Xenopus tropicalis: one gene and its partners. The protein of the gene in region 1 interacts with the protein of each later gene in a pairwise test. Links are inferred from orthologs where the notes say so. Each region holds a gene or a part of one and is shown in the gene's direction. Other genes may lie near its edges.

Region 1 (3,255 bases):
GCAGGGATGTTTGGATGTGTTAATAAAAAAAACTAATTTGTGTTTCATATTGTATTTTTAAAGGACTTTTATTATACAGTTTTTGATGTCCGGGTGACAGGTCCCCTTAGGTCAGGGGGCTCAAACTCAATTTACCTGGGGGCCGCAGGAGGCAAAGTCAGGATGAGGCTGGGCCGCATAAGGGATTTCACAAAAAAAAGTCCATGAAGGCTTGCATTATCGGATAATGCAAGGCACGGCGGGCGGGAGCTGCTGATTGCGGAAATGACGTTATGCCATCATAACAGTTATTATGGGAAGACGTTCTGTGTGCACAATTAGCTGCTAACTAAGGAGCTAATTGTGCACACAGAACGTCTTCCCATAATAACTGTTATGATGGCATAACGTCATTTCCGCAATCAGCAGCTCCCGCCCGCCGTGCCTTGCATTATCCCTTGAATCGCAATAAAAATCGCGATCCATTCATTGCTTTTGCGAAGGCGTTGGTGCGGGCCACAAAATATTGTACTGAGGGCCGCAAATGGCCCGCGGGCCGCGAGTTTGAGACCCCTGCCTTAGGTTATCTGTTTAACTTACAGAACCGGAAGCACATCCATGTGTTATGGACAATTACAGTCCTTTACATAACATCACATTCTGTGCTGAACCGGAGCCCTTCACATATAAGAGTGCCTTTAAATTTAGGATTAATGACCACGATCTTTCAGTAACCTGGTGCTCATATTGTTTCATTTCTTGAGGTGATAAGTATTAAAATAAATACATTTTGTCTGTTTTATCTTCAAATGTAGCTACATATTTATGGGAATATAAGTGGAAATAGTGCATCTTAAAGTGATTCTGGGAAAACATGCATCCATGCTGCTCCAGCAGAATCTTGCGCTGAAATCCATTTTTCAAAAGAGCAGACAGGTTTAATATATTTAATTTTGGAATTTGACAAGGGGCTAGACATATTCTTAGTTTTCCCGGTGCCCCCAACCATGTCACCCAACCATGCGCTGATAAACTTCAGTCACACTTTACTGCCGAGCTGCAAGTTGGAGTAATATCACCCCCCACCCCAACAGCAGCCGATCAGCCGAACAATAGAAAAGTAGCAAGATAGCACCTGACACCTGTATTGCTAAAAATGCTCCCATGCCCCACCTAGTTGTAGGTATGAGAATAGCACTCAATAGTAAGAAATCCAAGCCCGGCTCAAGTTACATGGGAGTAGGAGAAACAATAGGTTAGCTGAAAGCAGTTCTAATGTGTAGCGCTGGCTCCTTCTGAAAGCTCAGACTCAAGCTCAGAATACAATTTTAATTGGTAGAATTATTTGCAATGTACACAGTGTAATTTAATAATACAAACTTTCTTCACAGGCAATGGATAACTTTGAAGATGAACTCACCTGCTCAGTCTGCTATAATATTTTTGATGACCCGCGAATCCTTCCATGTTCACACACGTTTTGCAGGAATTGTCTTGAGAAAGTTATACATTCCTCAGGCAGTGGTCTGTGGAGGACATCTGCTGCCTGGCTTAAATGCCCATCGTGCCGAAACACTTCAGAACTAACAATGTCGGGAACTCTGGCCCTACCCATAAACTTTGCATTGAAATCCATTGTTGAAAAGTACAAAAGTGAAAACCACTTCAAAGCAGCCACCTGCCCCGAACACAACAAACAGCCCTTAAACCTATTTTGTCTTAGAGATAGAAAATTAATCTGTGGCCAGTGCCTTACCGTAGGGCAACACCAAGGGCATGCAATCGATGATCCAGAAAGTGCCTACTTAAAAGAGCGGCTGACTGCCTCGAAATATCTCCACATTCTGACTGACAAACACTTCATCGGCGTCTCCTTCGTCATTGAGAAGTTAGAAGAACAAATGAATTATTGTAAACAGATTGTTTTGGATGATAAAAAGGAGGTGGTAAGTTGTTTCGAGCGGTTGAATGAGACATTGGAGCAGAAGAAGCAAGATATGCTGGCTGCTCTCAGTGATCTCAATCGACAGATTGTCGAGGTGTATGCTCCAAAGATAGAGGAGATGAAGCAGATTCAAGATGAAGAGTTAGATCTCATCTCTCTGAGCAGCTCCGTTCAGGAAGAGCCGTCCCCTCTGCTGTTCCTGGAAAGCCTTCACAACATACGCAAAAGGATGAAAGCTCTAAAGAAGCAGGAACTTGTCACTGTCCACCCAGTTGCAATCTACCCTCGAGTCAGGCAGTTTCTAAATAATGAATGGGCGAAAGCTAGACTTGGTGAAATCAATCTGGTGCCAACTCCAACAATAAATCTGTGCTTCGAAACACCCAAAAAATCCCGAATGCTTCAAGATAAATGGACAGTTCTTTGTATTTTACTAATAATGACTTTATTTTTTGTACTAATGTTCGCTATCTGGTTGTACGACACCAACACGTTAAATTATTTTGCTTCTAGGTACATGTCGTACCTTTCTGAAATCATGGATCCTGTTAGGAAGGGTTTGAGCAGCGCCACGTGTGCCATTCGGGAAGCCGCACTGCACTGCTGGCATCTTTCTGAAGTTTGGCTATCACGTTTGTTGTGAGCGCAACTAAATGATTCTTTCTAAACACATGCAACTGTATGAATGCAGGCTGCATTTTGTTTTGTTTTTTAAACTATAGATACTCTTTATATAATTTTATATATATAATATTAAATATAGTCCAAGTAAAATCGGCACTCACCGCTCCAGAGGCACTCGCCGGGTGCTGACCAAAAAATAGACAGCAGGTTTGTAGAAAGCACTCACGGCATCAGAATGTAAAGTAAAAAGATTTCTTCTTTATTTAATCATCGCATCAACGCGTTTCGACCCTCATAGGATCGTCATCAGGATGATTAAATATATATATATAATATTATATATATAACTTTTATAAACTTTTATAAACTAATTTTATGAAGAATAAGAAATCATTTTACTATTTCAGTTTTGTAGGAGTGGTTTCTTGATTTAGACGTTTGTAGAATTTCTGTTGAACCCATTGATTTTTTTTTTCCTACACAATATTGCATGTTTTACTGTTAATCTTTAACCTTTCAAATGTAAGGTTTATATTTCCTTTGTATTTTTATAATGGACATATTATGGCGTGAATGTATTATTTTTATTTTGCTCTTGCTTTGTTATCCATAGGTTCAATGGCCACAATCTACCCTAGCACCTTTGAAAGCCTGTACTGTTGCTAGAAGCCAGCAAGGGATAGGTGGCCAAACAGCCGAGCAATGAA
Region 2 (4,175 bases), on another chromosome or scaffold:
GATGCTGCAAACTGGAAGCTTTGAGTGGATTTTTGGAAATGTCATCAAAATTGCTAACTTTAGAAATGCTTTGTGGCTTGGTACTTTGAAGTAGAAAGACATGGGTACCCATTTTAAATTCAGGGGAATGTGTACTTTCCAAAAATATATGGCTTTCTGGGATGAGCATACTTCATACTAGTTTTATTCCACTTATAATGATGTAAATGTGTTGATTTTGCAGGAGCTGGAATGACAGAAGTGATAGATCATATGGGGGTATGTTCACATTGGGGCCCCTACATGCCACATACTTAAGTAAACCTATACATATTTGGCATCAAACTATTCAGTGGACCCCTGGCATTCATATTTAGGGTGTTTTATTTGGTTACTTCATGACCTTTAGGAGATAAGATACTATAGACTGGAAGCTTTGAAGCGATTTTTTCAAAACTTCACAAATTTTGATAAAAACCTACAAATTTAGGAAAGCATTGTGACTTGATAGTTTGGAGTAGACAGACAGTTGTGCCTACTCTGTATACCCCAGAATCTGTTCTTTACAGAAATGTGTAATTTTCTGGGATAAACCTTCTGTTAGTGGAATTTTTGGCCTTGAAATCTAAAGTATGCAGCTTTCTGGAGCAGTGCTTTGGAAATTTGGTAGTGTACTGCTGGGAGTTTTTGACCTATACAAGTGAGAAATCTCCATAAAACTATATATATTTGGTATTGGTGCGTTCAGGAGACATGGGACTTTCCAAATCAGTTGTATTTTTGTGCATAAAATAATTTTTGTTTCTGGTATGTGATTTTTTAAAATTTTGTAGACATTTAGAAGCCTATATCTTGTTACAAAATTGGAATTACACCAAAATTCTACCAAATTTTGAAAGCTTAGTTTGTCCAGAAAAAAACGATATATTGTTTTCCTGGATAAACTAAAAGTCCCCCAGAAGAAAGGCCCCTAAAGTGCAAAATGTTCAAAGACTGTCTGGTAGTAGAAGTTCCAGTGAAAGGGTTAAAGAAACAAATTTACAAAAAAAAAATACAATTCGCCCAACGTGGGGCTCGAACCCACGACCCTGAGATTAAGAGTCTCATGCTCTACCGACTGAGCTAGCCGGGCTGCTTGGTTCAAAAATTCCACTGAGTATATTTAAGCACAAAAGCCAAACACTAATTCCTTTTTATTTGTTTGTTAATATACTTTTTCCACTGACGTTTACAGATTTCACAGCCTCCCTTCCACACCAGCAAATATGCTGAAAAAATGTACTAGCCTAACAGGGGTAGCAGCGACTTGTATAATACAGAAAAGAACCTGGTGACGCAAACAGGCGTGGCGAATTAGTATGGGGTAGCCCAAGTGCATCTGGGCGGGGCAATTACGAGGCGCTGGTTGCTTGAAAATGTCGGCGAATCTTCAAGTATCTGGACAGGTGTCCTCTGGGCCCTCGGTTCTGTCTTGCATTGTTTTATCGTCGGCCTCTTTGTTGTGTTTTGTGGCTGGATTTGGGACAGGGGCCGAGTTCGTGCGGTTTCTTTCATTCGGCGCTATTTTCAGGAATATCAGTGGGGGCCTAGATGGTGAGCATAGCCGGGTTATAAACTATGAAAAAGTGGCGGGAACTTGCTACAAAACACGATAAGGGAGTTTGAATAAACCAGGGATGAGATCTCACAGTTTAAAATGCGAATTGTACGAAAGGGATAGTAGTTACAGTGACTGTTTCACTGGGAAAGGGAATGTGATAATGATTTGGCTACAGCTCAGCTGTGTGCTGCTCCAAACACAGACAAATGTGCGTAAATATGGTCAGGCAATATTATCTGTTTATTATGCCAAGGCCCAAAGATTTTTCACATGAATTCCTTTAAAAAAAAAAAAAAAGGAAACATTAATTCACTAAGGGTGCCAATATGTTAGGTGAATTAAATTACTAAATTGCTCTCCTTTTCAGAAAAACCTTCTGTAGCATTGCCACATTGTCTTTTACTTGATTTTCATAGACTTAGATTTGTGCAGTATAGTGAAAATGTCCACCTTTAATTTACTCTACATTGGCAAGTGTAAATAAACAAGGAACTTCTGGGTAGGTCAGGTACAATTGCGGCTTGGTGCTCCTATAGAAAGTTACTTGGGTTAAAAAGAAGATTGCACCACTGCTTGTAAGGTGATTTTTGCCTGAAAATAGTTTAGTGCAAGAAGCACTGGTGTTAGTACTTTTAGGCAATTCTTAATGCAGGGCATAACAGAGGGCATTTTTGAGAATTCTGGATTTAAAGTAATTGGATGGGCTAAACACCCTAAATCAACTTATGCATTTTGTTTTGTTTTTAGGTGAAACACCAATAACATGGAGCGAAGCAATGAGAAACACCCAGTTTCAATACTGTATTGGGATTGATATTGGTCTTCTTGTTTTATTTGTACTCCAACACAGCATAATGGCCTGGACAGCAGTGAAGGAAAATGTGCTGCATGTGTTTGGTGTTCTCCAGCGTTCAATATATATCCTATGCACTGCCCTGTCTCTCCAGGTAAAACGTCTTCATGTTACTGTGGAGATTAATGGCATAGCAGCAGGCAATAATTGGTTTTACTCCAAATAACGGTGACATCCAAAAGATCTAGTTAAAACAAGGCTTTTCCTGAAATTTATATTTTTCAGTCAGCAGCACTCAGGTTGTTTCAAATGTTTGCCACACAGTTGTGAACAAACCCCAAAATAGAGACTATACCTATCTAAGTACTAAAGGTGATCATACCCTGATCATCCTCAATGGTATCCTACCAGCTGATGTTCAGATGAATTGGCCACTCTATTTATATTGTAGATGACACATTTAAAAAGCACTTTAAATAGATTTTTTATTATTCATATCTACCCAGTGGTGATTACGTTCTGAGGGCCCTTCCACAGAAGAATTATGACTCTTGATGAAACTTACTATATGTTGCTTTATGCAAGCCCATATATAAAGTGTAATAGAACTCAACAGTAGTGAGACTTTATATGTACAATTTTTCTTTTTAAAATGTACCTATTTATACTTTATTGCTTTTTCAAATCTTTATGTCCATGCAAGTCTGAAAGTTTTTTAGGCACTACTGAATTTTTTGTTAAAGGAGAGCTTACCCTTTCATTTTATCTTTATGATTGCATATATTAGACATAATATTAATATCAAACAGTGCCTCATCTTTGCTTCTACTTCATATAATAAGCTGCATGACTTCCATGGAGACCTTTTTAACCCCAAACACCAATCCTTATTACTTTGTTAATAACCTTGCTCCTCTAGCAGGCTAAGGGGCAGATTTTTCAAAATGTGAGTTTATAACTTAATACATAAAAACCCACCCATGTTCTATGCATTCATATGGGATTTTTAGAAGCTTATTTATCAGTGGGTGAAAGTTAGAACTCACCATTTGATAAATACCCACAGGAATGAGTAGAACATTGGTTTTTATGTATAAAGCTGCAAACTTACGTTTTGATAAATATGCCCCTAAGTATTTGGGTCTATTTTGGACCAAAAGTTCTTATTGCTGCTACCATGTATGCACACAATTTTCAGATTTTCGTGGCCTTCAATTTAGCAAGGGATTTTAGTTTATTACACCAGTGTAGGCTCTTGTACCTACATAATTTTTCTTCCAGGTGCTGATGAGATTCTGGCAGCCCTGTCCACAGGGTCCATACCTTTGGAATGTTTCTGCTGGTCCATGGAGTGCATGGCTTGCTTTACTCTGTGCTCTCTTGCACACAGTATCGTGGCTCCTTATATTCAGTGTTCTACTCATCTTTGACTATGCAGAATTGATGGGGATCAAACAGGTGAGTATGTGTTTTTCATACATAATAAGCCATTGATTTTCAGACTTTAAAGCAGAACTAAAGCTTAACTAAATAATTAGGCTAGAAATGTTGCACGTTATGTTTTGGGCTTCTGTACCAGCCCAAGGCAACCCCAGCCCTTTAGCAGGGAAGATCCGTGTCTCTGAAGATGCCCCAGCAGCCCTCTATCTTCTTTATACCTGATTCACTGGACATGTTCTGTCCTGCTGTCAGTTACTAAGCTTAAGGACTGACCCACAATACACCGTATATACAGTCATATGAAAAAGTTTGGGAACCCCTCTTAATTCTTTGGAGTTTTGTTTATCATTGGCTGAGCTTTCA
Region 3 (4,149 bases), on another chromosome or scaffold:
CCTGAGAATTTACTTGTCAACATCATACTAAAAGTTATGCACATTCGCGACCCACCCCCCTCCCCGCCGCTGGCAGGGTGCATCCGCGTCTATTTATACTCACATACGGAGAAGTGGGGAGAGGTCCCCATTGCTCCGTATGCCAGCAAATTTCAGAATTTTGGTGCGGCGGGGCGGCATACCGCCCCTAAATTGTTGCCGCCCTAGGCCCAGGCCTTTGTGACCTCGCCACAAATCCGGGCCTGGTTATGAATTCTTAAAATGCTTTCACTTACTGCATGCAAATGATTCTCTTAAACACAGCTGAATATCAGATTTTACTGATCTGATAAATAGTCACCAGATCATGGAAATCTGGAATTGAATTAGGAGATAGGTTTTTCTTATCAAATTGAATCTGGCCCTTTATGCACAACATGTTTTAGGACCCAAATCCCTTTATCGATTGAATTACTGCTTTTTAACTCTGCTTTCAAATCACAAAGAAATTAGGTATTCTTTTTATTATTTTCAGATTTGTCGCCAGTGGTAGCCTAGATTTACCACAGACAACAAATATCCACATTTGTCATTACCCTAAAGGCTGAATTACACAGAAGCTTTTGTTGCACTGTATGTCCCTGTTTTAATAGATCACGCCCCACAAGTCATGGGACGGGTGTAGTGTACATATTTAGAAATAAGATATAGATGGATACACTTTTGTTTCTAACTGAAATTCACTTACTGTTGGATGTAAATGCATAAAAATAAAATATTATTAGCTGCATCTGATCTTATCTGATCTGATAACAGCATGGAATATCAGATGTCATAGCATCCCTGTAGTATTTAATTGCATGGCAATATTTTATGGGACAGATATGTCTATCTGATAAGTCTCTTGAGTAGTTCATCTCATATTCACTGCATTAATTTCTTTCTCAAGACATTGATTGCATACATTTGTTCTGTATTCATGTTTGTTTATATAGGTTTAGGATTAAAAAGCATGTAAAACCTGAATAAACCTGAGTTTCAAGGCAAATAAATAACTCACTGCAAACACATAAAGTATTAAAAAACCCTTTAACAATATACACAGCAAACATTAAACAGAAACATGTTATACTAGAGATTTTTAAGATATAACTCATACGCATCCACCCCCTAAAATCTTCAACATTACATTCAGAAAATATAGATCAGATAGATATATAGATAGATAGATACAGAGAGAGAGAAAGAGAGAGAGAGAGAGAGAGAGAGAGAGAAAGAGAAAGAGAAAGAGAGAGAGAGAGAGAAAAGAGGAGGGAGGGGGTAGGGAAATACCTTAGCTAACATTTAACAACCACAGGAAGCAACCACTGCATCAAACATATCATCATCACCCAGTGAGAAAAGTCATTCATAAAGATATCCAGCAAAGCACAAGCAAGTACCAAGAGAAGTATCAGAGCTGTGTGGCTATGACAGAGGCATGAAGGGGATGTGAAGGTTAATCCGCAGCATCTCTAGAAAGACAGAAGCACAGAGAGAGGGAGAGAGAGAGAGAAGTGCACACACTGAACCCATCACAGCCACTGGCTGTTGATCTGAGCTCTGTATCCTTGGATTCGTCACTAACAAGGGTGAGTATATGTATTAGGTGGTAAGCTAAGGAAAGGCAATGTGCTACAATGTCTTTGGATCGCTCATATTTAAATCAACAAAGAGGGTTAAAAATACAGTTAATAGGCACTGGGCAAAAAAACTATGTACAATGGAGAAGAAAAGGCTGCACATAAAGTGAATTAGGAAGCTGTTATAATAGTGGATGGGGCTTTTAAAGTAAAAAAAAAATGAGGGACAGTACAGGCAGTATACAAGAAGTTATGTATTGTGGACAGAGATGAGGCAAAGTGACAGATGGCCACTACAAAGATGGTATAGAAAGTACTGCAGGAAAATAACTTATTTTGAAAGGATGAGTAGCAGGAAAGAGGAAATTAGAATCTTAAAAAAACAGAAAAGATGCAGTAAGGTATTAGTCGAAATCCATATAAAGAAATATGCAGGGAAAGGGTCAACTGGAACAGACTGAGTGAGGTGTGGCAGTAGAAAGGGGCCAGTTGTTTAGCTGGGAATGAAGAAAAGATCATCTGGTTTAGAAGTAATGAGGTAAGGCAAGATCAGCTGGTGTGCAGAGTATAAGGTGAGAAGGAGAGAATAGCTGGTGTATAGGGAAAGATGAGTAATGTGCAAAGAGATTAGCTGGTAATGAAGGATGATGTTTCGTGGCAGATGATATGATCTAGAGTACAGGTGGATCCACCTGTACTCTAGATCATATCATCTGCCACAAAACATCATCCTTCATTACCAGCTAATCTCTTTGCACATTGGTACCACCTGTACTCTAGATCATATCATCTGCCACAAAACATCATCCCTCATTACCAGCTAATCTCTTTGCACATTGAGATATATATATATACCTCATTACTTCTAAACCAGATGATCATTTCTTTACTGGGGAAGATAAGCTGGTGTAGAAACAATGAGGGTCAGAGATGTGAGTATAAGGTTCAGCATAAAAGATCAACAAGTGCACAAGGAATTATATATAACATTACGAGGGTACAGTTGTTGGAAAGAGCAAAAGCTGAAAAAGGGAGTTGTAGAAAACTTTGTGTATTTCTGGTAATATGCAAACGCAAGCAGTAATCTTACACAACTGCACCATAAAGTCATAAGAAAATTGAAATCAGGCATAATAGGTAAATTTGCACTGTAATACTTATTACACCCTTCTGTATGTGTGAAACCGATGAAGTACATACTAGTAAGAATGAGAATATATAATACCTTCTATAGCAAGTAATTAAAATATATAGATTAAAAGAAACCATTAAGCCATACTTTATATAGGGTATAATGTAATTATATTGTGAATTATCACATTATAACTAATTCCTTTCTTTTGAACCAGGCATGGAAACCGAGATGTTCAGTTTGCATATACTTTTTTTGGTGTCAAGTGTCTCACTGTTAGTACCTATGAGTGCCTTTCCTGACTAGTTTCATTATAGTATTGTGGTGCAGCAAACACAGAACGAAATCAGTACCTGTACCTTCTCTTCTTTCAGGAACAGCGATGAATTATGCTACCGTGCAACAGACTTAGTTTCAGTTTTTAAATATGCAGAATACCAACAATGCTTAGATACAAAATTTCATCAGGATGGTTCTTCTTAAACTGCTGAATCTTCTGGCTCCACTCTATTTCCTCTGCCTGCTATCAGTTACTTTATCCATTCAGTTCTTCTTACTACTTCCTGGCATAAGTGGGGAAACTTCATCTACCTTGTCTTTCTCTGGTTTTATTCACAATTCCCTCTTTGTTGTTTTACTTGTCAATGTGTTGGGAAATTATATACTGACAATCTGGAAGAGTCCTCATGGCAATGCAATGTATGCAGAAACTGAGCTATCAGGAAAACCATTTTGCCATCTTTGTGCCCGGGTGATGGGCGAACAGGAACATCACTGCTTTTTCACAGGAACATGTATAGGACGCAGCAATCTTCGTAGCTTTGTTCTGTTTTGCCTGCATGCTTCCTGCAGTTGTTTTCATGCTATGGTGGTTGGAGTGGGATATATTTCAGAAAGCATCTCTCTCTCCTTATACGATCCTATGACCTTCCTAAGGCTGCTGCCTCTCTCTATTACTCGATTTTTCTCAGGTTAGTTTTTTATACATATTTAGCCAGTGAACAAAACATATTTGGGGTTTAAACAAGTAGCCATTAATTGCAATGGTCATGATTATCAAGTGATAACTATGTAATTAATAGAATACTATATTCTTTTGTACTGGTTATCACAAAAGCACAAGGATAAACAAACTACCACTTCAATACCTGTACCCAAAATTCATATTAATCCAGACATGCTCCGTCATACAGATTTACCTGGCATTAATGCAATATAGACAATTTTCCCCCCAGATATTTCCCCTCACATATTACATTTCTAATGCTTACATATTTAAAAGTTCACATAAAGAACAGAATTTTACTACATGAACAGTTTGTTGGGATATATAGCAATAAATATAATGGAGTCAGTTGGTCTGTACATTAATGTTAAAGCTCTTGGGTTGATAAATGATGATGATGATGGCATGCA

What was found.
Region 2: the proteins of trim59 (region 1) and nrm interact in binary tests that used the Homo sapiens proteins (3 or more experiments, as listed by UniProt). The two-hybrid records come from large-scale screens. The link is inferred for Xenopus tropicalis from reciprocal best matches to the Homo sapiens genes TRIM59 and NRM.
Region 3: the proteins of trim59 (region 1) and zdhhc22 interact in binary tests that used the Homo sapiens proteins (3 or more experiments, as listed by UniProt). The link is inferred for Xenopus tropicalis from reciprocal best matches to the Homo sapiens genes TRIM59 and ZDHHC22.

What each region holds. Positions count from the first base shown.
Region 1 is NC_030681.2:114,755,573-114,758,827, forward strand, and holds the end of trim59 (tripartite motif-containing protein 59), read left to right. Parts: intron 1-1,370; 5' UTR 1,371-1,373; coding exon 1,374-2,567; 3' UTR 2,568-2,692; downstream 2,693-3,255. UniProt on the Homo sapiens protein: E3 ubiquitin ligase involved in different processes such as development and immune response. Serves as a negative regulator for innate immune signaling pathways by suppressing RLR-induced activation of IRF3/7 and NF-kappa-B via interaction with adapter ECSIT.
Region 2 is NC_030684.2:75,536,928-75,541,102, reverse strand, and holds the start of nrm (nurim), read left to right. Parts: upstream 1-1,337; 5' UTR 1,338-1,394; coding exon 1,395-1,572; intron 1,573-2,326; coding exon 2,327-2,526; intron 2,527-3,653; coding exon 3,654-3,830; intron 3,831-4,175.
Region 3 is NC_030684.2:82,642,879-82,647,027, reverse strand, and holds the start of zdhhc22 (palmitoyltransferase ZDHHC22), read left to right. Parts: upstream 1-1,311; 5' UTR 1,312-1,610; intron 1,611-3,107; 5' UTR 3,108-3,202; coding exon 3,203-3,704; intron 3,705-4,149. UniProt on the Homo sapiens protein: Palmitoyltransferase that could catalyze the addition of palmitate onto various protein substrates and be involved in a variety of cellular processes. Catalyzes the palmitoylation of KCNMA1, regulating localization of KCNMA1 to the plasma membrane.